Oryctolagus cuniculus: one gene and its partners. Each later gene encodes a partner of the first gene's protein in a complex. Links are inferred from orthologs where the notes say so. Each region holds a gene or a part of one and is shown in the gene's direction. Other genes may lie near its edges. The genes, in order: TRAPPC9, TRAPPC8, TRAPPC12 and TRAPPC11.

Region 1 (7,735 bases):
GGAGCCTGGGACTCCATCCAGTTATCCCACATGGGTGCAGGGCTCAATGATGTGGGCCATCTTCTGTTGCTTTCCCAGGTGCATTAGCAGGGAGCTGGATCAGAATTGGAGCAGCCGGGACTTGAACTAGTGCCCGTATGGGATGTTAGTATCCCAGGTGGGGACTTGGACTCACTGCGCCACAATGCCAACCCCATAATTTTTTCTTTCATCCTAAACAGCCTTATCCTTATGAAGTGATTATCTGTTTACTGGTATTCATGTAGTTAGGTTCAGTTGAAGCAGGGGCTTTGGCCTGCACTTTTTATTTTTAAATTTCAGTGTCTTCATTGTTTTATTTATTTATTTAGGATTTATCTGAAAGGCAGAGAGGGGGAGAGAAAGTCTTCCATCTGCTGGCTCACTCCCCCCACATGGCTGCAGCAGCCAGAGCTGGGCTGATCTGAAGCCAGGAGCCAAGAGCTCACGCAGGCACAGAGGCACAAGCACTTGGCCATCTTCTACTGCTTTCCCAGGCCAGAGAGCCAGATCAGAAGTGGAGCAGCGGGGTCTCAAACCAGTGTGCATATGGGATGCCAGTACTGCAGGTGGCAGCTTTACCTGCTACGCCATAGCACCAGCCTGATTTGTTAAACTTGAGATGATTCTCTTTTAATTTTATTAAAGAATTTGTTTATTTGAAAGGCAGAGTCAGAAAGACTGATTTTCCATCTGCTGGTCCACTCCCCAAATGTCCAAAACAGCCAGGGCTGGGCCAGGCCAAAGCCAGGATCCTGGAGTCCCATTGAGTCTCCCACATGGGTGGCAAGGGCCCAAGGACTTACACCATCTTCCGCAGCTTTCCCAGGCACGTTAGCAGGGAGCAGCGGGGACTGGAACGGGCACTCAGTTGCGGGGTGCTGGTAGTGCAGGGGACAGCTTGACCTGCTGCACCACCGTGCCAGCCGCAGTCCTGTTCTTTGTGAGATGGCCTGAGTGTTTCAGGGAGGTGGCTTCTGGCTCGGTGTCCTGGAGAATTTTCCGATAAAGTTTGTCGTGAGCTGAATGTGTGTGTCCCGTCCCCATACAGGGCTGAATTCAGTCCCCTGTGTGACGGTGTGGCGTGGGGCCTTTAGCAGGTGCTTAGGTCGTGAGCACGGGGCCTCCTGAGTGGGATCAGTGCCTTGACAGGAAGAGCTGGTGATCCGGCCACGGGGGATCTGGGGAGCCAGCCATGGGAGGATCCAGGGGAAGGCATGAGAAGTCGGTGATCCAGCCACGGGGGGATCTGCAGAGACGGTGTGGGAAGAGGCCGGTGAAGCAGCCACGGGGGGATCTGGGGACACGGTGTGGGAAGAGGCCGGTGAGCCAGCCACGGGGAGATCTGGGGACACGGTGTGGGAAGAGGCCGGTGAGCCAGCCACGGGGGATCTGGGGAGCCAGCCATGGGAGGATCCAGGGGAAGGCATGAGAAGTCGGTGATCCAGCCACAGGGGGATCCGCAGAGACGGTGTGGGAAGAGGCTGGTGAGCCAGCCACGGGGGGAGTCCGGCAGCCTCACCAGACCTGACCGTGTCAGGCTCCAGTCTCAGACCCGCGAGGTCGGCATGCCTGCTATCTCAGGCATGCGGCTGATGGATGGCAGTTTGTCACAGCAGCTTTCTCCTGTCTCTTGCAGAGGGACCTGGTGTGGGTCTGCTGCTGGACCTTGTTTAGAGGTCCCTTGCAGCCCCAGCTGTCTACAAACTCCTGGGACAGGTCTGAATCGTCTTTGAGTCTTCAACGTGCAGAGGAGAGATGCTTGGGAAATGCGAGAGCCGCGAGACCCATCGGGACGCCCTGGCGGGACGGTGGCGAGCTGAGCAAGCCCTCCTCCACCCTGAGCCTCTGCGTCCTCCTTGAAGAGGCCACAACAGGAGCCCCGCCCCCCGTGTGCTGGGAGGACAAGGCCCAGCCAGCAGGAGGGTGGGACACAGGGCAACGCGGTGCCCAAGGCCCAGTGCTCCCCATTTATAGAGAGAACAGGACTGGCAAGAACTGGGGGGGCATACAACCACGGGGCCACGCGGCTCCCGCCACTTGCTTGCGTGCATCCTTGTGCCCACCCCTCAGTGCTCAAGCAGGCTCTACCTTGGCTCTCAGAGGGCCGTGAGCTGAGCACAGATCTGTGTCCGTGGTGGACTGGGAAGATGCCTCTCTCCCCCCACCCCTGTCCAGCCCAGCACCAGCGGCAGCCGCCCGCCCTCTGGGTGGTCCTGGTCCTCAGCCCTGAGGCCCTGGTCTCCCCACTGTTCCCCAGGGACCTGCTTTGTTTACAGCTCCTCCCTGCTCCTCAGAAAACAAGCCAACAAAAACTCAATTGTTCTCCCACTGGCCCTGGGCAGGGATGAGGGCTAGCATATTATTATTTTATAGACAACATGAATAATAAAATACGCCATAAAACAGCGTTGGCTACACAGCAGAGAGTCCATAAACGCTTGCTGGCCTAAAGCAAAAAACCACTGCCTCCGAAGATTTTCCCACTGCTGCGCCTGCTGAGGGGTCACTCCTGTCCAACAACTTTCCAAAAGGCATTTTTAATGGGAAAATAAAACCCACGCATGTGGTGAGAGATCCAAAGAGTGATGAAAGCACACGGGGGAGGCAGCCTCTTTCTCGCTCGCGTCGTACCCTGGGCCCGCCCCAGCCCGGGAGCTGGGTCCCTGGGCCCTCTCACCTGCTGGCGATGCCAGCTACCGCACCGGCGGACCCCCGGCGTGTCCAGGAGGCACACCCGGACAGGGGGCGGGGGCTTGCGGGCGCTCTGCCGCAGGAGTTCTTGGGGAGGCGGCTTTAAAAAGGCTTTATCTATATATCTATCTATCTTTTGCTTTGGAAAGCGCGCACAGAGGTCTCCTTGCTCTGGTTCTGAGGCCCGCCACAGCCCGACCCTGGGCGCAGGGGCCATCCAACCAGGCTGCCCACGGGGGCGGCGGGGACCCCAGAACCCGAGCCCTTAGCCGCGGCCTCCGGGCTGTATCGGAGACGGCGCCGGCACTCGCACCCCGACGCTCGGCTCTGGGATGCCCGCTCGGCTCTGGGATGCGAGGGGCGCCGGAGGGGTCGGCGGGAGGCCAGGAGAAAGGGCGGGCCCAGGGAGCAGCAGCCGCCCCCGCGCTCCGCGTCACCGTCCTCCCCACCCCTCGCCTCCCTCGCGCGCTTCCGCCCCGACCTCCCACAAACCCCGGCGCGGATCGCGGCCCGGGGCCAGCCTCCGCGCACGCGCGGTAGTAGCGCCGGCGCCGCCGCCTGCCGGGAGCTCCAGTGCTGAGGCGGGGAAGCGGCTGTAGAGGCTGCCCGGACCCGCTGCCCGCCAGGCCGTTGGCTCCCGCTCCGGGCCCGGGGCCACCGGCTGTGTAAGTGCAACCCGGGGGGCTCCCGGCCTGGGGGTCCGGGCCGGCAGCGGGAGGGCGGTGTGTCCGGCTGCGGGGCTCGCCCAGCCCACACCTGGCCGGGTCCGCCCGCCCCGCGGGGCCAGCTCGCGCTTGCCTCAGGCCCCGTTCCCTTTGCCTCGCGCCCTGTGTGCACCTGTCCAGGGCCGTGCCCACACCTGCCCCGGGCCCCGCACGGCCTGGGCTCTCTGGTCCGAGGCGGTCGTACCCTTTCCGCTCTTCCGCCTCCTGGCGCTCTGCGGCCGCCGGCTTCTTCCCGGGACAGCCTGCAGCGCCGACGCCCCCTGCCCGCCGACCCCGCGCGGGGGGCCCGGGGTCCCCGCCGCTGCCGCTGCCCGGAGGCTCCTTCGCGCCTTTCGTGTGCTGGCCTGGCGGTGGCCACTAGCGGCCCCGGGCCTTCAGTGTCCACCGCGAGTCGTCCCGCTGAGGTCGCGTCCACAGCGCACCCTGTGCGCGTAGACGCGGGGAACGCGGAGTTTCCGCTCGTTAGGGTGCGCTGTGCGCTCTCTCAGCGTCCGCTCACGGCGACGGGCTGGAGATGCGAAACTCAGCCGTTGGAACGCACTTTAAACCCGGCACCGTCCTTTAGTATTTATTTTTAAAAGTAGGTTCGTGCACTGACTGCTGGCAGACCTGAGGAATCAGAATCGCTGGGCGTGAGCCTGGGAGATCTGTGTTCTTCCTTGAATGTTTATTTGATGGGAAAGGCAGAGTTCAGTCCCCTGGAAGCGGGAGGCGGAACCCAGTCCAGGTCTCCCAGGGGGCGTGGCAGGAGCCGGCACCAGCTGCTACAGCAGGACGCTGGACGGTGGAAGCTGAGCCAGGCCCTGGGATACGGGAGGTGGGAATCTCCGTTGGGTCTTACCTGCTGTGCCGTACACCTGCTGATGCTTTGAGAAGTGCGCTGGGGCTCAGTGGGTGCCGCATCCCATATGGGTGCCAGTTCGAGTCCCGGCTGCTCCACTTCCGATCCAGCTCTCTGCTGTGGCCTGGGAAAGCAGTAGAAGATGGCCCAAGTCCTTGGGCCCCTGCGCCCGCGTGGGAGACCCGGAAGAAGCTCCTGGCACCTGGCTTTGGATCAGCTCAGCCGTTTGGGGAGTGAACCAGTGGAAGGAAGACCTCTCTCTCTCTCTGTGTGTGTCTGTGTCTACTTCTCCCTGTAACTCTTTCTTTCAAATAAATAAAATCTTAAAAAAAAAAAAGTGGGCTATAGCTTCTCCCCATGCAGGCCACTGTGGTGAACATGGAGTTGGGGCACCAGGAGCATGATTTGCAGATGGCAAGGTTTTATTCTATGTGTTTAAATTATTATTTTAAAGATTTCATTTATTTTAAAGAGTGACAGATTTTTCTATCTGCTGGTTTGCTCCCCAAAGGGCTTTAACAGCTGCGGCTGGGCCAGGCGGAAGCTGGGAGCCAGGAGCTCCATCTGGGTCTCCCGCAGGGGTGACAGGGACCCGAGTCCTTGAGCCGTCAGCGCTACCTCCCATGGTGCCCTTAGCAGGAGGCTGGATTGGAAGTAGTGGGTAGCAGGGTCCGTGGACCAGGCAGCTGGTGTGGGACGCGCACCTCCCATTGGCGGCTTAACTCCCTGTGCTACTCGGCTGCCCCTGTTTGCTTTTTGAATTGTGTGGCTGACGAATAGTGTAGAGGAAAAAGTAGGTGTCAGGAAATGATGGCGTTCAGCTATCCTGATGTCCACTGTCCACAGTGTCCAGTTCAGTGGCCTCAGTCCACTGAGTGGCCATTGCCCTCCCAGAGCACACTCGTCACCCCGGGAGAGGCTCTGCACCGTGAGCGGTCATGGCCGTCCTGGTGGCCACTGGCTGACTTCCTGTCTATGGGCTTGCGCGTTCATGCCGCTGCGCGTTCGTGGAGCCACGCAGCGCGCGTCTTTTGTGTCTGGCTCCCTTCACACAGTGGCCTGTGTTCAGGCTCCCTCCGTGGTGGGAGGTGCCTCCGCGCTCTGCTCCTTTTGCTGGCTGAGCGCTGTTCCGTCGCGTGGAGATAGTACTGCGTGTCTGTTTAGCCTGCTGGACATCTGCTTTTCCCACTTCCTGGTTATTGTGAACAATGCTGTTGTGGTATTCACGTTCCAGTTTCTGGAGTGGACACAGGGTCTTTTTTTTTTTTTTTTTTAAAGATGTATTTATTTCAAAGTCAGAGTTACACAGAGAGAGGAGAGGCAGAGAGAGAGAGGTCTTCCATCCACTGGTTCACTCCCCAATTGGCAGCAATGGCCAGAGCTGTGCTGATCTGAAGCCAGGAGCCAGGAGCTTCCTTCGTGTCTCCCATGCGGATGCAGGGCCCAAGCACTTGGGCCATCCTCCACTGCTTTCCCAGGCCACAGCAGAGAGCTGGATCGGCAGTGGAGCAGCCGGGTCTCAAACCTGCGCCCACGTGGGATGCCGGTGCTTCAGGCCAGGGCGTTAATCCAGTGCACCACAGCACGGCCCCCACGTGGTCTTGAGTAGGACTCAGGAGTAGGACTGCTGGCTCTCTGCGTTTAACGTTTTGAGGCACTACTAGGTTGAAGAAACACACTTCTTATGTTGTAAGGTTTGTACAGCCTTCCCCTCACCCCCAGGGTTCAGCTTCCGGGGGTGCCTGAAGCCATGGCTAGTGCATGTCCTGTGTGTTCTGCCATGTGTATGTGCCTGTGACAAAGCTCAGTTGCTAAATGAAGCTCAACAAGAGAATAACAATAACCGACAGTGAAATACGACAGTCACAGTGCGGAAACTGCCAGCAGTTCTGCTTAGCACTCGGAGCTATCAGTAAGTGAATTAAGGGTTCCCTGAGCACGCACCACTGTGGCTGCTTGGGTAACCGAGACCACAAACACTGCGGCATCCCTGTAGTTGCTCCCACAGCAAGACAGCTGTGCAGTGGCTCACCGAGTGCTGCTCCGGCCTTCCTCACTGCTCAGCAGCGTGTAATTGAAAACTTACAGATGGTTTATTTCTGGAGCTTCCCAGGTGTTATTCGTGGACCACGGTTGACCATAGGTAATGGAAACCGTGGAGAGTGCCCCCCAGGGCTAAGGGGGGCTCTTGGGGTGGTTTCTTGGCAGACACAAAAGCGGTATCAGGTTCTCTCTAGAGTGGCAATTGGTTGCTGAGGCTGCTGTGGGCGGGGCCTGGGGCCCGTGGTGCTTGTTTGTTGGGGTGTCTGTGGTGTCAGTGTGGCATGACTCCCAAGGAGCCCGGGCAGGTGTGTGGAGCTTGTTTGTACAGCGTTGGATACACAGCATGAATCTGGAGTGACAGTTCCCAAGAGGGTGGCTCTGGTTCTCGGTGGCCTCTGCCTGTGGCCGTCGGGTCTCCCATGTGCCATGGGTGTGACCCTCTCCAGTTTCTCAGTGCCTCTGGAGAACTGGAGGGGTCATTGGCGTTTCATAAGTCAGCGAGATCCCAGTGGCTGGAGGGCTGACAGCTGAGGGTCCGTTTTTATTTTTGCCGAGACAGGATGCTCAGAAAATGGCCATCTTCCCCTCTCACCATCTTTTTGTGAAAGTATAACATTTTTTAAAGAATATTTATGTGAAAGGCAGGGTTACAGAGAGAGAGGGAGAGGAGGGACACAGAGAGAGAGCTCTTCCATCCACTGGTTCACTCCCCAAATGGCTGCAGCGGCTGGAGGTGTGTGGGCCAGGCTGAAGCCAGGAGCCAGGAGCGTCTGGGTCTCCCATGCGGTGCAGGGCCCAAGCGCTTGGCCCGTCTGCTGCCTTCCTAGGTGCATTAGCAGGGAGCTGCTTGGGAAGTAGAGCAGCCGGGACATGAACTGGCGCCCACGTAGGATGCCGGCATCAAGGTGAGGCTTAACCTGCTGTGCCACAGCACCAGCCCTGGAGCACAGATGGTTTAACACCAAAACCCAGGAGGTGCATAACCTAAAGGGAGTGGGAGTTCATACTTGTCAACACTTACGACTTGGGGTTAGTTTTACGACAGCTCACTCTCCTTGCTGTCCTCATTTTACTTCAGTTGGGAGACCCTGAGCGTTTCCTGCCCCTGGCTTCAGGCCGAGCTGTGTCTGTGACACACTTGCTGTTTTGCGCCTCTTGGGGCTTTGCGAAGGAGCAGCGTAAACCTCACTGACGGGTGGAGGACAGAGGCTGCCTGGCTGACCGAGCCGGACCATGGGCTCCTTGAAGTCAGACCTTCCTCCTTTCTTACCTCTTGACAAAATTGCGAAGTATTTAATGTATCTAATATATGATATTTGTGCATGCAGTACTAGTGTACTTAATATATAATATTTGAAATAAAAACCCTTTTTGACTTATATTTTAAAATATATATTAGTGATATATTCAGTTT
Region 2 (7,142 bases), on another chromosome or scaffold:
AAAAGGCAGCCTAAAATACGGTGAGTATTATAAAATATTTTTGATTTAACATTTATGTTCAATATATGTACATATCTTCAAGTGAACATTTTGATATTCATTAATATATATCATTATGTATCAAGAAATTACTCCTTGCAAATTATACATATCTAAGATTGTCCTGAATATAACTATAAATTCTAGGTAGCTGAAAGTGGAAAAAATTTAACTTTAGTTGCTTCTATCTATAAATTTAATGAAGATATGACTAAGTGTTGTGGCCAGTCATCAGATGATAATGAAATTAACATGCACCATGTATTAAAACAGTATCATTTATATGTTAAAGACAACTTGCCTATATTCATTCTTTTTAAAGAAAATTATTATACCTTTCCTTTTCCTTTATGTCCTCCCTTCTCTGAGAATATATGAAAAAAATGTGTGTATTTGCAGAACATGCTGGTGTTACAGTGGTTAATCATTGAAGAAATCAAATTTGCCTGGCTCATAGCAGGATCTGTAGCCTATTTATTGTACAGCAGAATATACAGTGATAGCACTACTGTCAATTTTAGAGAATTAGCTAGCAGTAATTGTACTATGATTATTTTACTTAATGAAATATCTAAATAAAATGTCTTCTAAAACTTACAGAAAGGCAAAATGAGATAATATTTTTAAGTACTGAGTATGGTTTAGTCCTTCAGTAAATGTTAATTCTCCTTAAGAAGATGATAGAGAGAGGGAGTACTCTGGCCCATTCAGGGAAAGCTTTGTTGACTCTGGTGGTAGTAAAATGAGCTTCCTCCAAGGAGAGTGAACATTTCAGAATTTGGCTATCATGAAGATAGTCAGTAGAGGAGTGGGTACTCCAGGGAGTGGGTGTGTTTATGAACAAAGATTTACAAGTTAGGCAACATAAAATAAATACAGTTCAGCCATGGTGTAAAATCTCTGTGAAAGAAGTAAAGGGGGAATGAACCTTTGCAATATAAAGTTATATGGTAGAGAGCTTTGAATGCCAGGTTAAAGGCTGGAGTATATTTTGTGGTTGTTCAGTAACTTTGGAAATACTATCAGAGAAGAGACCTAATCAAGACATTACTATATGAAAGGTTATTTCATATATTATATAGATGAGTTTGATGTACAGAGAAAATGCCCAGAGTCAGGGAGACTTACAGTTGCCTTCCAAATAGAGAAGGAGTAGAACTGGATTTAGGTTTTTACTTCATTTTACTTTATTGTATCTTTTTTTTTTTTTTTTTTTTTTTTTAATTTGAGAGGCAGACAGTGCTCCCGTCCACTGTTTCACTCCCCAAATCTGCAGTGGCTGAAGCTGGACTGGGCTGAAGCTAGGAGCCAGGAAGTCAATCCAGGTCTCCCACATAGGAGGCAGGAACCCAAGTCCTTGAGCCATCACCTCTTCCTCCCAGGGTCTGCAACAGTAGGAAGCTGTAATTGGGAATCAGCTGAGACTCAGAAAACCTGTATTCTTACCCACATCTTAATGCTAGGCCAGATGCTCACCAGATTCATCCATTTTTTAAAATTTTTATTTGGAATTAGAGAATCAGAACATACGGAGAGGATCTTAGAATAAACTCTTTTTTGGTCTTGTTTTTAACTTTTCTTTAGGCACAGAATATTAAGACACACTGCAGTTATTTGTACCAGCCGATCTTTGAATGTACGAGCCACTGTCTGCAGAAGTAATTCTCTTGATGAAGAAGGCAAAGGAGGCAATATGCTAGTCTTTGTGGATGTGGAGAATACCAATACTGTAAGTTGGTTTTCAATTATGTCTGAAGTGTTTCCTTTGTTCTTAACAGTTTCTTTTTCTGTCACAAAAGAATAGAAACTAAAATAATGTGATACCATCTTATGTCTCCATTAATTTTGTAATTTCATTCTTCATACTCTTAAAATAAAAGGATCTGCTAGTATTAATATGCTACATATTATAGGACAAGTAGCCCCATATGGTAATAATTTCAATCTAACTGAGATTTTGGGGAGCAGCAGTTGGTGTAGCGATTAATTGGCCATTTGAAATGCCTGCATCCCACATCAGAGTGCCTAGGTTCAAGTCCAACCTCCCCTCCGAATTCTAGCTTCCTGCTAATGCAGGTGATGGCTCAAGTACTTGAGTCCCTGCCACCTAACTGAGAGATCTAGACTGAGTTATATGCTCAAGAATGGCCCAGCCTCTGTCATTGCTTATCTGTCTCCAAACCCTCCTCCCCACCACCCAAACCTCTCTCTCTTGTCTGCTCTCAGATAAGGGGAAAAAATACTTCTTGGGTTAAATGTTGATTTATCTTTTTTTAAAAAAATTATTTTATTTGAAAGGCAGAGTTACAGAGAGGCACAGGCAGAGAAAGTCTTCCATCCAGTGTTTCACTCCCCAAATGGCCACAACAGCTGGAGCTGCACTGATCTGAAGCCAGGAGCTTCTTCCAGGTCTCCCACGCGGGTACAGGGGCACAAGGACTTGGGCCATCCTCTGCTGCTTTCCCAGGCCATAGCAGAGAGCTGAATCGGAAGAGGAGCAGCCGGGACTTGAACCAGCGCTCATATGGGATGCTGGCACTGCAGGCAGCGGCTTTACCTGCTACACCACAGTGCCGGCCCCAATTTCTCTTTTTTAAGAATATTTAGAGAGATAGTTAAATTGCCCAAACCTCTTGAAATATGTATTGTTACTTTTTTCAAATTACAAATTTTATCTTATGTTAATTGATACTGACTTTGTAATGTATGACTTTTGTCCTCATTGGAATATTCTGATTTATTGTTCTTAAATTCCAAATGACTCACATCTCTTTTTGACAGAGTGAAGCAGGTGTTAAGGAATTCCATATAGTACAAGTATCAAGTAGCAGCAAACACTGGAAATTATATAAATCTGTAAATCTCTCAGAAAACAAAGGTTTGTGGCTTTTTCCCCCTTTTTTTAAAAATAAATTTGACATCTTCACTGCTTTAGTGCCAGATTATAAGATTATTGGTACCTTACATTTTCATTAGTTTATGTGACTTTAAATCACCTATCTTGATCCAGTCTTTCCCATATTTTTATTCCCTTGCACTTTTTTTTCTTTTTTTTTTTTTAATTTGTAAAATCAGTGAGTCATATGATCACTGTCAAAAATTCAAATATGGTGGGCATTTGGCCCAGTGGTTCAGATGTTGCTTGGTATGCTCAGATCCTATTATCAGTTGTACAGGTTTTATTCCTGGCTCTGCACCCTGTTAATAATTTGCACCCAGGGAGGCAGCAGTTGTAAGATTGAGGTGAAACTGAAAAAATGATACTTGTCCTCTTACTGGACAAGAATTGTGTGATTTTTTTTCAAAAGACATAAAATATTTAAACCCTTAACCTCACATTAATCCTTACTTTTGGATATTATGGAAGGGAATTAACTCAAAATATGGGAAAATGTATATATTCTCTGAAGTTTATTACACTGTTATGTTTATAGGGGAAAATTCAGTATAGTTTTAATGTAAATTATGCTATAATTCAGATTCTTTCAGTTGTTAAAATATACATGTATTAACATTTTTTCATTGCCTGCCATAATGGAAAAATGCACAATAGCAAAGTATGTGCATATAATAATATTGGTATAAATCATATCTATTACAACTTTCTAAGAAGAAACAAATGACAGAATGGTGGGATTGGGCTGAAGCCCCAAAGTTTTTATCTTTGAAGCTTCTTTTTAATCTGGAATGAAATAGACCCATAAGGTACTTAAAAGTTTGTGGAAAAATTGAATTAAAAGATAAGTTTAGTTTGGTATAAAAATTTTGGAATTCATGCTGCTTTGTCACCCATCCAAATTTTCACAAAGATTTTAAGATCCCATATATCCATGAATTTGAAATTTTTGTGCCAAAATCAACATCTTTTAATTATTTTCCACAAACTTTTTGAAGTATCCTTATAAATATATGCACACACAGATAATATATGAGTATCTTGAGAAAATTGAAGTTTGTCTTTTTTAAGATGTTTGTAAACATTTGTTTCATTGAGATGAAAGTAAAGATGTTTTTTATTAAACACTATTATACTCAGTAAATTATTTTCCAGCTTGACCAAAAAAATTGGAATAATGAGTTCAATTTTACCTTGTCATAAACTGAGAAACATTTTTGAAAATTTTTTTTTCTAGACGCCAAACTTGCCAGTAGGGAGAAAGGAAAGTTTTGCTTCAAGGCAATAAGATGTAAGGAAAAAGAAGGTAAACTTATTTTGCTTTCATACTTTCTTAAATGACCATTTTGTATTTTATGTCAGTGGTACATTATTTTTTTCTCCTGTTTTTTAGCTAATATGCAGTCCTCAGAAAAGTATACTTTTGCAGATATCATCTTTGGAAATGAACAGGTATGCAAATAAGCACAATAGTGGTTGATTTATTTCAAAGTTGTTCTGGAATATCTGATTGTTTTTGGAACCTATAGCTTTTGTAATTTTCAGTCTCTGGAAGATGAATATCTTTGTTGAGTTTGCATTCTATGTCCATCCCCTAAACAAACCAAAAATAGGATGTGGACTATACTATTTAATTAATTATTTAAAGTTAACTTTCTTTTGAGTCTGTCATGTGAAATAAGTATACTTCTTGAAATTAAAAAAGGATTATTTAGGGGAGCTTTCCTTTTAGTTCAGAAAATGATCAGAGTAAACATCTAGCTGTTAAAACTATGTGGATTTTGGTATATCTTGTGGTTCTGAGGCCCAAATGATAAGCTAGGCACAAGAATCACCTAGAACAGTGTTTTCAAATTCTCAAAAAATGTACATTTAAGTCACTGGACATTTTGTTATAAAATGCAAATTCTGATTTAGTTTAAGTGGGATAGAATCCGATGTTCTAAATTGTTACAATCAACCCCAGTAAGATTTAGGTGTTTGTTAGTCTGCAAATCCTAGTTTTGAGTATTAAGGACCTACATCTGGAGGGTTTTGTAAAAATACAGGCTTCGCCCTTTCACCTCTAGAACTCTGGTTTATTATATCTTGGGTAGAGATAGGGAGTATGTATTTTTAACTAGCCCTGCAGGTCATCTGAGATTCACTGGGGACTTATTTTCAAAAATACTGAACATAGTGTGTAAAAGTCCATGTAATTATTTCCAAGCGGCAGGATACCACCTTGTTTGTGCTCTTCTTGATAATTAAAACTGTACTTACAAACTGTACTTATACACTTTTTCACTTTTCACATTGTGATTATCAGTTGATCATTTGAGGAAGCAGCTCCAGAAGCCCAGTAATTCCCACACACGTAGGACTTTTGAAGATACTGTGATTCTTTAATGGTTGAATTTAGCTTTAAGGACTTTAGTTATCTGTTTTGTTTATTTCTTTTAAAAAAAATTCTTACATCTCTAGAAATATCAGCAACACTACTAAATTACATTAAGGTTGTGATTTTTATCATGTTTCTCTTGGAATACTTTCAGGCAAGTTATGTAAGTGTACTAAAATATGAATTTTGTCAGAATTTGAGACTAAATATATGTGACAAAATAAATTGATAGCTCACTTAGATAAGTTACTTCTTTCAACAGATAATAAGTTCAGCAAGTCCATGTGCAGACTTCTTTTATCGAAGTTTATCCTCGGACTTGAAAAAACCACAAGTTCAGTTGTCTATGCACCCAGAAAAACGATCAGCAGAGGATGCTGTGAGACTGATTCAAAAGTGCAGTGAGGTGGATCTGAATATTATCATATTATGGAAGGTATGTGTTACTAAATTATTTGGATTCTTAAAGCTGAAGAACAAATGTATACCTCTATTTTTTTACACTTAAAATTTCCAGTTTCTTATTTTTAAAAATTTTTTAAAATATTAATTTGAAAAGCAGAGTTTCAGAGAGAAACAGAGACAGAGAGCTCTTCCATCCACTGTAAGTGGGATTTATCCCTGGTATGCAGGGATGGTTCAACATTCACAAATCAATCAGTGTGATACATCACATTAACAAACTGGTGAAAAAACAGCACATAATGAAAAAAACTACAGTGATCTCAACAGATGCAGAGAAAGCATTTCATAAAATACATACCTTTTCATGATGAAAACTCTAAGCAAATTGGGTTTAGAAGGAACATTCCTCAGCACAATCAAGGCAATTTATGACAAACTCACAGCTAGCATCATATTGAATGGGGAGAGATTGGAATCATTCCCACTGAGATCCAGTACCAGAGATGGCCACTCTCACCATTGCTATTCAGTATAGTCCTGGAAGTTTTAGCCAGAGCCCATTAGGCAAGAAAAAGTAATCAAAGGGATACAAGTTGGGAAGGAGAAAGTCAAACTATCCCTATTGCAGATGACATGATTCTGTACATAGGGGATCCAAAATGTTCCAAGAGACTATTGGAACTCACGGAAGAGTCTGGTTAAGTAGCAGGATATAAAGTCAATACACAAAACCCAACAACCTTCATATACATAGATAATGCCGTGGCTGAGAAAGAACTTCTAAGATCAATCCCATTCACAATAGCTGCAAAAAAAAATCAAGTACCTTGGAATAATTTTAACCAAGGACATCAAAGATCTCCACAATGAGAATTACAAAACATTAGAGAAAGAAATAGAAGAAGATACAAAAAATGGAAAAATCTTCCATGTTCGTGGATTGGAAGAGTCAATATCATCATTGTGTCCATTTTTCCAAAAACAATTTACAGATTCAATGCGATACCAATCAAAATACCAAACACATTCTTCTCATATCTAGAAAAAAATGATGCTGAAATTCATATGGAGTTCCAGGAGACCTCGAATAGCTAAAGTAACCTTATACAACAAAAACAAAGCTGGATGCATCACAGTAGCAGATTTCAAGACATAGTACAAGGCAGTTATAATCAAAACAGCTTGGTACTGATACAAAATAGATGGATAGACCAATGGAACAGAATAGAGATATCAGAAATCAATCCCAACGTCTACAACCAACTCATATTTGACCAAGGAGCTAAAACCAATCCCTGGAGCAACGACAGTCTCTTCAACTTATAGTGCTGGGAAAACTGGATCTCCACATGCAGAAGTATGAAGCAACACCCCTACCTTACACCTTACACAAAAGTCCCCCATGGATTAAAAATCTAAATC
Region 3 (6,787 bases), on another chromosome or scaffold:
CCTCAGGGTCTCCTCACCCTCGGGCTGGCCCTGCTGACTGCGGCTTCCTTGCCTGCTGTTAAGGCTGGGCTTGCATTGTGTGCTTTGGTTTGGTTTTTCTCAGTAAAATTCTGTAGTATTTGGTCAAAGTGTTTCTTTGAACTTTGCAAAGTCGGTGGCACCTGCCATTTGGTAGCCACAAAAAACGGCCATGGCCCCTGTCCCAAATGCCAGCGTGTTAAGTGCGTTATTGTTACTACTGAGCAGTCAGTCATCTCATCTTAGTTCTGTTTTGCTTAGTGCTGTGCCAGCATTCATTTTTAAGTCTGGAAGTTACTAAGCTGTGAGACAATGTGACTGCTGACAGACAGAGCGCAGGTTCACCGCCGTGTCCTGGGTGTCCGGTGCCGCCTTTCAGACACCAGCTACGATCGGTCGCCGCAGGGTCCACGGCTGCAGCCCAGAAGCCTTGGCATCGTGACAGGACAGCGAGGAACGGCCCCGCGGGGCGGCTGGGCTCTTTCTCTCAGCGTTCAGCTAAACGGACTCTGATTTTGTCCACACAGATTGGAGACATTAAAACGGCTGAGAAGTATTTTCAAGACGTTGAGAAAGTGATGCAGAAATTGGATGGACTACAGGGTAAAATAATGGTTTTAATGAACAGGTGAGTATTTTTAAACTGCATACTTATTTTCTCAAACTTCCTAAAACAAAGTCTAAACACAACTTCCCGAGCAATGCAATCTTCCAGAGAGAACACTGCCTCTCGCGCCCCGTCCCGGCTCAGACGAGGGCGCCCAGCATCCTCTACACCCCGTCCCGGCTTAGACAAGGGCGCCCGGCGTCCTCTCACGCCCCGTCCCGGCTCAGACGAGGGCGCCCGGCATCCTCTCGTGCCCGGTCCCTGCTCAGACGAGGGTGCCCAGCGTCCTCTTACGCCCCGTCCCGGCTCAGACGAGGGTGCCCGGCGTCCTCTCACGCCCCGTCCCGGCTCAGACGAGGGTGCCCGGCGTCCTCTTACGCCCCGTCCCGGCTCAGATGAGGGTGCCCGGCTCAGATGAGGGTGCCCAGCGTCCTCTTGAACTGCAGAGGTGTGCTTTCCTCACACGAGCTGGCTTGGAGGAGGTTTTCCCCGGCGTTCCTCAGGGAACTGCTCGTGTGGCCCCCCTTCTGTCTAGCTCAGCAGGCGTGGGCGCCGTCCGCAGTGCCCCGCCACCTTGCACCCATCGGTCCTGGGGTGTGCATCCAGTGTCGGTGAGGGAGCTGTGCACAGGGACACACGTGTGAGCAGAGGCTGTGCCCAGTAGAGTGTGCACACAGCTCAGGACAGGAGCGTGAGGCACGAGTACCCACAGTCCACGGGTGGGAGTGGCCTGAACTGGGCCGGGTCAGGCAGGCAGATGCGGTACTGCCTCTGTCGAGAGGGCCGGGGTCGCCATCCTGCAGCCTCTGAAGCCCCCTCCAGGTGGGGGACCCCTCCCCTCCCTAGCACCCTGACATTCCCTGGCTAACGAAGGGCTCTGCCCGTGGCCTCTGCTGCAGAGCGTTCCTGCACCTGGGTCAGAACAACTTCGCCGAAGCCCACAGATTCTTCACTGAGATCTTGAGGATGGACCCAACAAACGCCGTGGTAAGACCCCCGCAGGCATTTGTCCTGTGTCTCGGACCCCTCTGCCCGTCGCAGTGCTCGGGGCCAGCCTTGGCCCTGCTCACAGGCACAGGCATCGGGTGACTGTGGCGGTCACGGGCTACCCCAGTGTCAGGCCCAGGTGCACTGGGCGTGACCTGTGACCTGCACGTGGCCCCGCCTCCAGGCCAACAACAACGCCGCCGTGTGTCTGCTCTACCTGGGCAAGCTCAAGGACTCGCTGCGGCAGCTGGAGGCCATGGTGCAGCGGGACCCCAGGCACTACCTGCACGAGAGTGTGCTGTTCAACCTGACCACCATGTACGAGCTGGAGTCCTCGCGGAGCATGCAGAAGAAGCAGAGCCTGCTCGAGGCCGTGGCCGGCAAAGAAGGGGACAGTTTCAACACCCAGTGCCTCAAGCTGGCCTAGAGCCAGAGTGTGAGTGTGGACCAGAGCAGCGCATGCGTGCGGCTGTGCACAGCCATAAAGGCCCGTCTCCTAGAGCCAGAGCGTGAGAGTAGACCAGAGCGGCGCACCGTGCGGCTGTGCACAGCCATAAAGGCCCGTCTCCTAGAGCCAGAGTGTGAGAGTAGACCAGAGCGGCGCACCGTGCGGCTGTGCACAGCCATAAAGGCCCGTCTCCTAGAGCCAGAGTGTGAGAGTAGACCAGAGCGGCACACTGTGCGGCTGTGCACAGCCATAAAGGCCCGTCTCCTAGAGCCAGAGTGTGAGAGTAGACCAGAGCGGCACACCGTGCGGCTGTGCACAGCCATAAAGGCCCGTCTCCTAGAGCCAGAGTGTGAGAGTGGACCATGGAGTGGCACATGCGTGTGGCTGTGGCATAGCCATGAAGGCCCGTCTCCCGCCCCATGGGAGCCTCCTTCTGGAGCCACAGCCCAGGCCTGCCCAAGGTGGGCACGTCCCTGGGTATGCACACGAGGGGAGATGGTGTGCCAGGCAGGAGGCCTGCAGTGTGCACCAGACCTCCCTCACCTCTCCTGGAAGCCAGCCTGTTCCTTTCTTATTTATTTATCTGTCTTCATTGTATTTGAAAGGCAAAGAGCCAAACACAGACCTTGAGTCCACTGGTTCACGCCCCAGATGCCTGCAACAGCCAGGCTGCGCATCTCCCGCTGTCCACGGCTGCTCAGCGTCCTCCTCCCGCCCTCTCTCCTCACACCCGTCTCGTTCACTGACCAAGGTGGAACGGTGGGTCCTGGTTTCTCTTGTGTTTCGTGCGCCCCACAGAGAGGGCAGAGAGGGAGAGCCGCACCCGGGAGTGAGCAGAACACAGAGCTCAGGTGCGTGAGAAAACCAGGAAGCGTCTGAACACAGGCTGCCGGGGGTCAGCAGGGTCGGAGCCCGAGCACCCGGGGGTCAGCAGCATCGGGAACACAGGGCCCTCGAGGGTCAGCAGGGTCTGAGCCCAGGCCAGTCCGCACATTTGCACTCATCTTTTCATAGTTATTCCTGCTTTTGAAACCGTAAGTCCCTGAAAATGTCTGCATTTACCAGGCAGCTCTGGCCAGGACCCTGTAATGCCGGCTTCTCTAACCCGTGAGCTGTGATCGACATGCGGGGCTGAGAAGTGCGTGTACGAATCAGAGCTGCAGGCAGATGGCCCCACTCCTTTGCTGAGGCGCACGTGAGTGACGCCTCAGAGCAGAAGAGCAGGTGACCCCGCCTGGAGGGCTGGACACTCCCAGGGACCTTCACATCCTCCTCTCCACAAAGAGGGAAAATCAGCGTCGTATTTGACTATGGGAGTGCAGGGAGGCAGTGGACACCCAGGAGTGGCAGGTGAGAAAGGAGCCAGGCTCCCTTCAGACTGAACCTGCAGCCAGTCTTCCTCCCCAGCTGCCATTGCCGGACACTGGAACCAGCAAGGGACAATGGGAGGCCAGGCCACACAGGTGATTTGTCCCCCGGGGGCAGGTGAGGTTAGGCCCAGCTCACGGAGGTGGCAGCGCCATCGCTAGCTCCTGCCTGGGTGTTTTAGCCTGTTCCTACAGAAAGGGGCCATCATTGTGGCCTGCACATTGGCATCCCATATGGGTACTGGTTTGTGTCCTGGCTGTTCCACTTCCGATCCAGCTCCCTGCTACTGGCCTGGAGAAAGTAGCAGAAGATGGCCCATGCCACTCACAGGGGAGACCCAGAAGAAGCTCCTGGCTCCTGGCTCCTGGCTCCTGGCTCTGGCCTGGCCCAGCACTGGCTGTTGTGGCCATGTGGGGAGTGAACCAGCAGGTGGAAGATGTTTCTCTCTCTCTCTCTCTGTCTCCCTCTCCATAACTCTTGCAAAATAAATAAATTTTTAAAAAGCTTATGAAAAATAAATAAAGGCTGAAGAGGAGAACTGCTATGAATGTTAATGTCTGGATAATTGCTGTAACCTATCTTGTTATCTTAAAAAATTATTTAAATATAAGAAGCCGTAATGGCAGGCCTTTGGCACAGCAGTTGAGACGCTGCCTGGGACAGTTCACCCCTATGGGAGCGCTTGAGCTGAGTCTCAGCTCCACTTCCAGTCCAGCGCCTGGAGGCGGCGGTGATGACTCAAGTACCAGGTCTCTGCCACCCTTTTGGGAGACCTGGATCAAGTTGTTCCAGGCATTTGGGGTGTGAACCAGCAGGTAAGAGATCTTTCTATGTCTTGGTCTCTCAATTTTTCAAATAAATACAAAATTTAGAAATAAATACATAATCTCTGAAACCCTTCCCAGAGCCAGGTGGACAGTGGTTAGCCATCAAAGGGCATGCGTTCCATCTGGAACCCTGGGAGCCTCGTTAAGTTAATCCTGGGCCACACACTGCCTGCTCTTGAAAGAGCAGTGCACGTGAACACCACCTCCCCTCTGGCCATCGCTACTGAATGACCAGTGTGTTCTGCGTACAGTGCTCGGACCATCACCAAGGCAGCACATGGCCCCCGAGCAAGGAGGCAGCCATAGCTTCCTGGTGCCCACACCAGGGCCCCTGTGGCTGCAGAGGCCCAGACCTGCCTGTGTCCGAGTGTGTCTCCCACTGTTGAGCAGGCTCGTGAGCACCACAGAGGCCAAGCCCTAGACTTGGAGATGGCCCTGCTCCTGTACCCACCATCCCAGGCCCTCTGTGCCGCGCACCTCTACAGCTGCCTGGAGTGGGACAGACCCACAGAGGCCCTGATGTTGGCTGGAGCAGCCCTGGCTGGTGAGGCCTCCTCTTCTTCCATGCCCAGCCCCTGAGCTCCTCTGGAAGATCCCAGTCGCCTCTGGGCCACTGCACCTCCCTCGCAATTCCCCCCGTGTCTCACATGTGTGAGCAAAGTGCCCAGCAGGCAAATGTGCAGTGGCTCAGGATGCGCAGGACGCTGCTCAAGACGCCAACTGGGTATTTTGCTCCACGGCCCAGGTGCACAGCCCTCTGCCCTCCTCTGCCTTGGGCACCTCTGCCATCAGGGACAGGAGCGACAGCTGGGCCCAGAGTCCTCTGCAGGTCCTGATGTGACCAGGAACCGGGCCCTGGGCCCAGGATTGAGACAGGACCAGAATGGCCTGCCTGATGTCGGGCCGGGGAGGGGTAAGCCCCACCACCAAGGCTCCCTTGCCCCTGCCCTGGAGGCCCTCGGCTGCTGCCCTGCTACTGTGGCCCAGCGGTCGGCGTGCCAGGCAGAGTGGCCTGCAGCAGAGACACTACCCCTCTCCAGCAGCGCCCAAGCTGCCCATCTAGGCCCCCCCCCTTGCAGGAACAACCAGAACTGAACCCCGTGCCCATTGCAGGTGGATGTGATGGGGCTTTTACAAAAGCTCAGGAATGGCGTGTGCCTTGGGCCTCATCGCCAAGTCCACCTGCTCTGCTCTCTCCATGCCTGGAGTGCATTAGCTCAGTTTATGTCTCCTGACAACAGGAACCAGAACAGACCCTGGGGCTGGGTGAGGGACAAGAGCAGACCCACAGGCCTCACCGAGGGACCCCCAGGCACCTGAAAAGGCCCAGCTCCTGCTCTCTGCCAGCAGGACCGGGGTGCCAGGCCTGTCGGAAAGGTTTGCCTGCCAAGAAGTCGTGATACCAGTTTTCTTGTCACTCAGAGCCGTCACTCTCCCTTCCCGAGCAAGCTTTGTCTTCTCTCCGGGGTTAAGGACAAGCAACGAACGGGTGAGCCCTTGGCATCTGTTGCCTCAGTTTCACTTGGGCACGCGCCTGCATCTCAGGAGGAGCACCTGCACTGTCCAGAGGAGAGGGTCATGGGGCCACGAGGGCTGTCACCTGGAAACCCGGCCACCAAGTGCAGCCTCCAGCCAGGGCGTCCATCAGCCGCATGGAGCCAATGTCGCCCAGCCGCGACCTCAGCCACAGCCCTGGGTCCCTGAACACCTGGCTGGGCGCACTGAACCACTCCGCCTCCACGAGGCCTGTGAGGTGGCCTCCCACCTTCCTGCGGTGCTCCCAGGTTCTGGAGCGGCTGGGCAGAGGCCGTGCGTGCAGGGTCAGTGCTCTGTGGACCCCACGCAGGCCCGCTGCACAGCCTCCTTTGCTGGGCTTTCTCGGCTGGTTTCTAGAACTCCCTAAGAAAGCAAAGGCCGACCACACTTCCTGTGTCTGGCCTGTGGGCCGTACACTGACCTCTGCCGGCACACAGGAAAGACCGCCGAGCCAGTTGGAGTGGCTGTCAATTCTTCAGGACCCCGTGGGCTGCATGCGGGAATCTGACGCCTCCAGGCAGTGACCAGGCCTCTCTGAGCCATGCTCCAGTTAAAGGACAGCAGGTGGTGACAGCCCCTGACTGGCTCCTCACCCAGCTCCGGTCTGAGCCCACAGAGGTCACCGCACATCCACCTCTGCTCCTAAACCTCTGGGTTCCCACCTGCGGCGGAGTGAGCCCTGTGATGTGTGCATCCCAGCCCCAGGGGCTCTGCTCCTCGGCGTTGCAGATGAAATGGTGTCCCCCAAAATCTGTTGAGGCCCCAGACCCAAAGTGGCTGTTTAAAGGTAGGGGCTTCAAAGCGGTCACTAAGGTTAAAGGAGGCCGTATTCCTACCTGACCGCGGCCTCATGAAGCCGACACCGGGCGAGCAGGCGCCACCTCAGACGAGTGAGCAGAGGGGCTTCGGAAGCAGCTCTGCCCACACCTGCGTCAGGTCTTGGCCGTCTTCTGAGCTGCCCAGCTGTGGTGCTGGTCCCGGCCATCCTGGGGGCGG
Region 4 (7,823 bases), on another chromosome or scaffold:
ACTATATTTGTAATCTCTCTAATGAGATGATTTAAAACTTAAAAAAAATTGTACAAAAAAACTAGGGGCCGGTGCGCTGTGGCATAATAGTTTAAGCATTTGCCTGTGGCACTGGCATCCCATATGGGCGCTGGTTCGAGTCCCTGCTATTCTACTTCTGCTCCAGCTCACTGCTAATGGCTTGAGAGAGCAGTGGAAGATGGCCCAATTACTTGGGCCCCTGCACCTGCATGGGAAACCCAGAAGAAGCTCCTGGCATCTGGCTTAGGATCCGTGCAGCTCCCTTTGGGGATGAACCTTCCATCCCTTTTGGGGATGGAAGACCTCTCTCTCTGTCTGTAACTATGCCTCTGAAGTGAATAAGTAAATCTTAAAAAAAAAAAAAAAGAAAACTTAAAGAGAAAGGTTGGTAAGGATCTACTCAAGATAGGAGAAAGGACTGCAACACAAAACGTATCTAGCAACTTTGCTGGGGAGTGTTTCTTAGAATACAGTGGTCTTACAAATGACTTGGTCTTGTGGAAGGGGGAAAAAAGCGAAATCACCTTCGAGAAGCTATGACATAGAATGGCCCTTGTCTATACTGTTGACGAACAGTTCTTTTAGTTTTTTAAATTTCATTCTTTCTTTTTCTTCTCGGACTTAAGAGGAGAGGGAGGAGGAAGCAGGGGAGAGTGGGTGGGAGGGCAGGTACAGTGGGAAAATTACTATGTTCCTAATGTTGTATTTATGATATACATACAAATAATAATAATATAAAGATTGAGTCTCAAGCACCATTTGACCACGGACAATTCTCTGAGAAGACTGCCCTCGTGTACATGTTCTGGTTTTCAAAAAGGTGTAACCATGAATTCTACAGAGTAAAGATGGCGACCTTGTGACATGGACACAAGTTTAGAATTGATTTTTTAAGAAATGGTGGGAGAACAAAGAGTAGTCCCTAAAACCTAGCCAATATATGAAATGAGGGCATATGTAAATAATCCTTCTCAGAGATGGTACTTCTGATTCAGAGACCAGCAGGAAACAGTCTACACAGATTTTAGCAAAGCTCCACAAGTTTCTCTTGTTACCTTTACAAAGAAAAATATAGAAATTCAAACTGGATTCAGGAACAACTAAGAAGATTAGACTGTTATAAACAACTGACTCAAAATACAGCTACTCCTTAATGACTGGAACAGGAATATAAACAAAAGGCAGGTTCAATGATGGGACAGTGCATCACGCTGGCGGCAGAATTAAGAACTCAAAATGTCCTTAAAAAACATGCTCGTGATGCAATTAAACAGCATTAAGTAGAAGAAATTATGTTTACATTCTTAGATACACAAATAGAGAAAGACAAATTATTTTATAAAAAGCACTTAAACGGTTTAGTTGACAGTGAACGTTACTGAATGTAACTGTAGAAAAGGCGTTTTGCAACAATTTGACAACAGGACATAAGCTTAGAACCTGCCGGCTGACAGGATTCCAGGATGGTAAAGGAACTGAAATAATGGGCTTAGGAATAAAAGCTAAGGGAACAATTTTGCCAAGAAAAGGACATTGGGCAGGAAACTGTCTTCAAAGATCTGAAAATCAGTCACATGGAAGAGTGGAAATGGAGATTCGGGGCCCCACCGCAGAAATTCTGACTCAAACGGAGTGGGGTGCAGTGCAGGTTGTTTATTTAACAATCACTCAAATGGTTCCAACTTGGAGAAACCTTCCCCTTCATGTATGCTCTGTGCATTGCTGGAAGACAAAGCTAGTAATGCCTTGGCTGAGAGACTCCCGTAGCAAAACTGCTTTGAAGGAATTCAGGTGTCAACTTGCTTGTTGAACTTTGGGTCTTAATTTAAAGCTAATTTCTGATCCACAGATGCTATCACTTCTATCGTGTGGAAGTGCTAATTAAAGCAATACCTGACAAGTGTATTAGCGAATGCACAGGAGGCTTGGGGTCTGGTTGCAATCCTAGCACAGCCTCACGGCGCGGTCCGGGGGCCACTCACTGCGCCTTACCCATCACAAAGGTAGAAGGTGCCCCCAGAGGTGACCTGGCGCGTCCCTCCAACGTGTCAAAACAGAATTTTAAAGAGAAAATACGTGCGCACGAAGCATACAATTCTGATGGCACGCCGTATACTCAAGATTCGGCATCCATCTGCCAACACGGAAAAATGATTTCATAAAACAATTTGGACAGAAACCAGAGACACGCGGGTCATTATTTTTCTCCACTAGGAGACTTAACTAAGTTAACTCTCTACCAGTCAAGAGTTTTTAGGACTTAGAGGTGACCAGATTCCAGGCCAGCTCAGGGCACAAGCTCTGAACACCACGCGGGAGTCAAGGAGACAACTGGGTCATGGACCAAGGACAGTCACCCTGGTCATCAAGGAAATCTGCGGAGACCCCCGGGTGAGCAAATATGAAAGACGGCAGGGAGTGGGCAGGCAGAGGCGGGCCCCCACCCTTTCACGCACGCCTGTCCTCTCTCGCACCGCACCGGCCAGGCTCGGAGGGCGCGCGGGGCGCAGGGCACGTGCGGGCCCCGGGCTGTGGCTGCGCGCCTGCGCGGGAACACGGGCGTCCAGCCTCGGGTGGGGCTCACCTCTTGGTCCTCGTTGGCACTCATCGCGCCAGTCGCGGGGCTCTCCCGGGCTGCTGGCGTTCACAACGAAGAGGGCACAAGTGCACTGGCCCCCGAGGCCGGGGCGTCCCCCTTCCGCGCCTCGGCTGCGGGGCCACGCACCCTTCGCAGCCGAAGACCAGAGTCACGCACGCCGCGAGGCTCTCGGCAGCGTCCAGGCGCCGACCACAGGGGCCCGGCTGTGCTCCGGGAGCCGGAGGCCGCCGTGGGTGAGGCGACCCGGAGTCTGAGGAGAGGCTGCGGGGCGGTACCGGCGGAGGCTCCGCCCCCCTCTTCCCCCTCGTTTTTCCCATTGGCTCCTTCCATCTCCGCCCCCGACTCTTTCTCTCGTTGGACTTGGAGAGCTTCCTTCGCGTTGTGGAGAGCGGCGTCCGACTCCAGGGCGGCGATTGGTGTAGGACGCTGTCACTCACGTCCAGAAAGTGCTTCCTGTGCCAGAGGAGGTGGGGACCGGGAGGTCCGGCCTGCTGGAGCCTGCGGCGGGGCCGCGGCCATAGGGACGGGTCCGGACGTTTTGTGGCCTCTCGGCCTGCTTCCTGTCATTCCTGTCATCTTCTCCCGCCTGGCGGCGATCGGCCACGGCTGCTGCGGGTCCGGGGCGTGCGGCCTGGGTGAGTCCGGGCCCAGAGACCCATGGGGCCAGGCGAGGCCGCCGAGGAAGAGCTAGCTCTTAACAGCACTGGTTTTGGGGCCTGCGTTTCCCTAAGTGTGAGGGTGCAGTCCTGGCATTTCTCTTCCAGCCCCTCCCAAAAGACGCACCCATTTCCAGGACGCCCCCCGCGCCTCCCACTTAACGGGGTGGGGTGATAGAAGAGGAAGATGCCTTTTGTGCAAGATTCTTTCTCCAGCTTCCTTCATTGGAGCTATCTGGGGCAGAATTCTGTGACCACGGGGATGGAATCTAAGCCTCAGTTGAGTTTGTGCTCCACATCCTCACCATCGACTTTTTTTTTTTTTTTTTAAATAACCATTTGGCCTCAAACTGAGTTCATTCCTCCTTTGCTCATTTTGTAGTTGCGATTGGTGTAGGACATCATCTCTGAATCTCGTTGTTAGTAGACGTTAGTCTTACCCCCTGAACTCCAGTTCGTTATAGTAAAGCCGCATTATTATAATTACTTGTCATGCTGCCTGACAGATTGCTTCCCTTGCACTCGGTGGTGTCCACCCAGAATGCTCACTTGTACCCCTGTACCTCCTTCCACGTCATGGTTTGATCTGTGGCTCCGTTGGCTTCCTTCAGGAAATCTGAAAATTTCTCTTCCTCAGCTTTCCTCGTGGAAGCATTCAGTGTATATCTCTCTTTACCTTCATGTTTCCAGCCTTTGCTGGAGAATAAGCATGCATATTTAACTGCCCAAATTTTTAAAGTTGAGTATGGCAAAGCTTTAGGTGCAGGTTTTTTTTTTTTTTTTTTTTTTTGAAAGGCAGAGTGGACAGTGAGAGGGAGAGACAGAGAGAAAGGTCTTCCTTTTGCCATTGGTTCACCCTCCAATGGCCGCCGCGGCCGGCGCACTGCGCTGATCCGATGGCAGGAGCCAGGTGCTTCTCCTGGTCTCCCATGGGGTGCAGGGCCCAAGCACCTGGGCCATCCTCCACTGCACTCCCTGGCCACAGCAGAGGGCTGGCCTGGAAGAGGGGCAACTGGGACAGAATCCGGCGCCCCGACCGGGACTAGAACCTGGTGTGCCGGCGCCGCAAGGCGGAGGATTAGCCTAGTGAGCCGCGGCGCCGGCCTAGGTGCAGTTTTTTGTTTTTTGTTTTTTGTTTTTTTTTTTTTTTTTTGACAGGCAGAGTGGACAGTGAGAGAGAGAGAGAGAGAGAAAGGTCTTCCTTTGCCGTTGGTTCACCCTCCAATGGCCGCCGCGGCCGGCACGCTGCGGCCGGCGCACCGCGCTGATCCGATGGCAGAAGCCAGGAGCCAGGTGCTTTTCCTGGTCTCCCATGGGGTGCAGGGCCCAAGCACCTGGGCCATCCTCCACTGCACTCCCTGGACACAGCAGAGGGCTGGCCTGGAAGAGGGGCAACCGGGACAGAATCCGGCGCCCCGACCAGGACTAGAACCCGGTGTGCCGGCGCCGCTAGGCGGAGGATTAGCCTAGTGAGCCGCGGCGCCGGCCCTAGGTGCAGTTTTTATACAGTACATTTGGGACAGATTTGCCAGTTGACAGCTGTCCATCTTGCACAGTAACCATGTGTGGCTGTTGAGCATCTGAAATAAGCTAGTCCAGATTGAAATATTGTGTGGATAAAATACACACCAAAATGTGAAGACTTAGTGTAGTACAAAGAAAGTAAAATATCTGATTGATAACTTTTATGTTGTTGATATGATAATATCTGGGACCTACTGAGAGTGTTATTGAAATGAATTCACCTGTTTCTTTTTAATATGACTGGTAGAAAATGTAAAATCATTTATGTGGTTTGTATGTTCTTGTTACGTAGCTACAGCACTGATTTAAAGTTCTGTAAGTGATTTCTAGTTCCCTTACTTCCAGCTTGCTCAAAGCTTTTTGCCTTTTTGTAATTTTTTCAGTGGCGGTCCATATATTAGAAATAGATCTGAAAGAATTGCTTATGAATGTGTTTTCATTTGTATTTTCAGCTTTTTCATGACAACCTGACCATGAGCCCCACACAGTGGGACTTCCCTGTGGAATTATGCTGCCGGCCTATGGCCTTTGTTACCCTTACGGGCCTGGATGTCGTGTATAATGCTGTACATAGAGCTGTCTGGGATGCCTTCTGTGCCAATCGGAGAGCTGACCGAGTACCAATTTCTTTCAAGGTGCTCCCAGGTGACCATGAGTATCCCAAATGTAGACCCAAGGTAATGACATTATGATTTCATGGGTTCACTCTTTCTCTGTGTATGTATGTCTTTTTGTGTTACTGTTGTCTGTGCTGGAAACCTGAGTTTATCAAGACAATGGTTGTACTTGTATAGAAAGAAAACTTTGGGGCCGCCATTGTGGTGTAGTGGATAAAGCTGATACCTGCAATGAAGGCATCCCAAATAGGCACTGGCTTATTGTCCCCACTACTCCACTTCCAATCCAGCGCCCTGGTAAAGAGCCTGGGAGGGCAGCTGAAGATTGCCCAAGTGCTTGGGCTTCTGCCACCCATGTGGGAGACTGGAAGGAAGCTCCTGGCTCTTGGCTTTGGCTTGGCCTAGCCCTGGCCATTGCAACCATCTGGACATCTCTCTCTGTCTTTCCTTCTGTCTCTGTAACTCTGACTTTCAAATAAATAAGTAAGTAAGTAAATAAATAAATAAATAAATCTTCAAAAAAGAAAAGAAAACCATAGACATGTTCATGTATGTTTAATAAAATGTTTAAAAAAGATTTGTTTATGGGGTTGGTGCTGTGGCTTAGTGGGTAAAGCCGCCGCTTGCAGTGCCGGCATCCCATATGGGTGCTGGTTCAAGTCCGGGCTGCCCCACTTCCAATTCAGCTCTCTGCTATGACCTGGGAAAGCAGTGGAAGATGGCCCAAGTCCTTGGGCCCCTGCACCCATGTGGGAGACCCAGAGGAAGCTCCTGGCTCCTGGCTTCGGATTAGCATAGCTCCGGCTGTTGTGACCGACTGAGGAGTGAACCAACAGATGGAAGACCTCTCTCTCTCTCTGCCTTTTCTTAAAAAGGTTTGTTTATTTATTTGAAAGGCAGAGTTACAGAGAGAGGAGAGAGAGAGAGATGTTCCATGTCGTTCGCTTCCCACATGGCTGCAATGGCCTGGGTTGGGCCATACCAAAACCAGGAGGCAGGAGCTTCATCTGGGTTTCTAACATGGATGACAAGAGTCCGAGCACTTACGCTATCTTCAGCTGCTTTCCCAGGTGCATTAGCAGGGGGCCTGATCGGAAGTAGAGCAGCCAGAATGTGAACTGGCACCCGCATGGGATGTGGCATTGCAGGGGCAGCCTAATCTGCTACATTACAACGCTGGCCCCAACAATTATCTTTTTAAAACCCAGCTGAATAATTACTTTATGTACCTTTCTATCCTATGAGTCTTGCTTTTCCCCACATCTCCATATATTGAGCAAAATCTTTAAAAGGAAGATCTCACATTTCCCTTTCTTTGTTATCAATATCAGTATAGAATCCATAGTCTTTACAGTTTGTTTCAATGTCATATTTTTTTAGAAAACTTTTATTTAATAAATATAAATTTTCAAAGTACAACTTTTGGGTTATAGCGTTTTTTTCCCCCCATAACCACTCTCCCACCCACAAACCATCCGATCTCATTCTTCATTAAGATTCATTTTTAATGATCTTTATATACAGAAGATCAACTTAGTATATACTAAGTAAAGATTTCAACAGATTGCACCCACACAGACATACAAAGTACAAAGTACTGTTTGCATACTAGTTTTACCATTAATTCGCATAGTACAACACATTAAGGACAGAGATCCTACATGGGGAGTAAGTGCACAGTGACTCCTGCTGTTGATTTAACAATTCAGTGTCATATGTTTTTGAGTGCTTTATTTGTATTAGGTGCCTGGAACCATGCAACAAGCTGGTGATAGGAGTACAAATTCAATCAGACATGCCTGATGTCCTTGGGAGTAGTACATAAACTAGAGCAGTTTACTCAAGAGGGAATGAGGAATGTCATTAAGTTCAAAACTGATTTGTTTGTCTTTTATGTTTGTTAAAATTTTACTTAAAAATTAAGAAAAGAAAATTTGGCTACTTATCTGCATAACAGAAACATTGCCAATGTTATACTAAAACATGTACTTTTGAATTAATTTCTCTTTTTTTTTTTGCCAGAAATCTTTAAGGTATACAAACTTCATGCATTTCATAAATACAACTTTAGGAACATGGTGATTCTTCCCACTGTACCTGCCTTCCCACTGGCACTCCCACTCTTCTTCCTCCTCCCGCTAGCCTATTTCCAGTCTTATTTTTTACTAAGATCTATTTTCAATTAACTTTATACACATAGGATTAACTCTATACTAAGTAAAGAGTTCAACAAATAATATGAAAAAAAAAAAAAACCAGACTGTTCCTCAACAGTTTCATGATTTCTCTTTTGATTTCTTCTATGATCCACTTCTCATTCAAAAGCAAGTTGTTCAGTCTCCATGTGTTTGCATATATTCTAGAGATTCTTGAATTGTTGATTTCCAGCTTCATTCCATTGTAGTC

Evidence for each region.
Region 2: TRAPPC9 (region 1) and TRAPPC8 share a complex: the UniProt entries of both Homo sapiens proteins name them as parts of the multisubunit TRAPP (transport protein particle) complex. The link is inferred for Oryctolagus cuniculus from reciprocal best matches to the Homo sapiens genes TRAPPC9 and TRAPPC8.
Region 3: TRAPPC9 (region 1) and TRAPPC12 share a complex: the UniProt entries of both Homo sapiens proteins name them as parts of the multisubunit TRAPP (transport protein particle) complex. The link is inferred for Oryctolagus cuniculus from reciprocal best matches to the Homo sapiens genes TRAPPC9 and TRAPPC12.
Region 4: TRAPPC9 (region 1) and TRAPPC11 share a complex: the UniProt entries of both Homo sapiens proteins name them as parts of the multisubunit TRAPP (transport protein particle) complex. The link is inferred for Oryctolagus cuniculus from reciprocal best matches to the Homo sapiens genes TRAPPC9 and TRAPPC11.

What each region holds. Positions count from the first base shown.
Region 1 is NC_091437.1:165,566,857-165,574,591, reverse strand, and holds the start of TRAPPC9 (trafficking protein particle complex subunit 9), read left to right. Parts: upstream 1-3,242; 5' UTR 3,243-3,377; intron 3,378-7,735. UniProt on the Homo sapiens protein: Functions as an activator of NF-kappa-B through increased phosphorylation of the IKK complex. May function in neuronal cells differentiation. May play a role in vesicular transport from endoplasmic reticulum to Golgi.
Region 2 is NC_091441.1:45,756,457-45,763,598, forward strand, and holds part of TRAPPC8 (trafficking protein particle complex subunit 8), read left to right. Parts: coding exon 1-20; intron 21-1,623; coding exon 1,624-1,768; intron 1,769-2,820; coding exon 2,821-2,917; intron 2,918-4,172; coding exon 4,173-4,241; intron 4,242-4,328; coding exon 4,329-4,387; intron 4,388-5,577; coding exon 5,578-5,751; intron 5,752-7,142. UniProt on the Homo sapiens protein: Plays a role in endoplasmic reticulum to Golgi apparatus trafficking at a very early stage. Maintains together with TBC1D14 the cycling pool of ATG9 required for initiation of autophagy. Involved in collagen secretion.
Region 3 is NC_091433.1:197,906,738-197,913,524, reverse strand, and holds the end of TRAPPC12 (trafficking protein particle complex subunit 12), read left to right. Parts: intron 1-545; coding exon 546-646; intron 647-1,524; coding exon 1,525-1,612; intron 1,613-1,796; coding exon 1,797-2,039; 3' UTR 2,040-3,970; downstream 3,971-6,787. UniProt on the Homo sapiens protein: Component of the TRAPP complex, which is involved in endoplasmic reticulum to Golgi apparatus trafficking at a very early stage.
Region 4 is NC_091433.1:65,463,802-65,471,624, forward strand, and holds the start of TRAPPC11 (trafficking protein particle complex subunit 11), read left to right. Parts: upstream 1-3,115; 5' UTR 3,116-3,255; intron 3,256-5,252; 5' UTR 5,253-5,273; coding exon 5,274-5,477; intron 5,478-7,823. Other genes in the region: RWDD4 (RWD domain-containing protein 4), read right to left, coding at 2,606-2,629. UniProt on the Homo sapiens protein: Involved in endoplasmic reticulum to Golgi apparatus trafficking at a very early stage.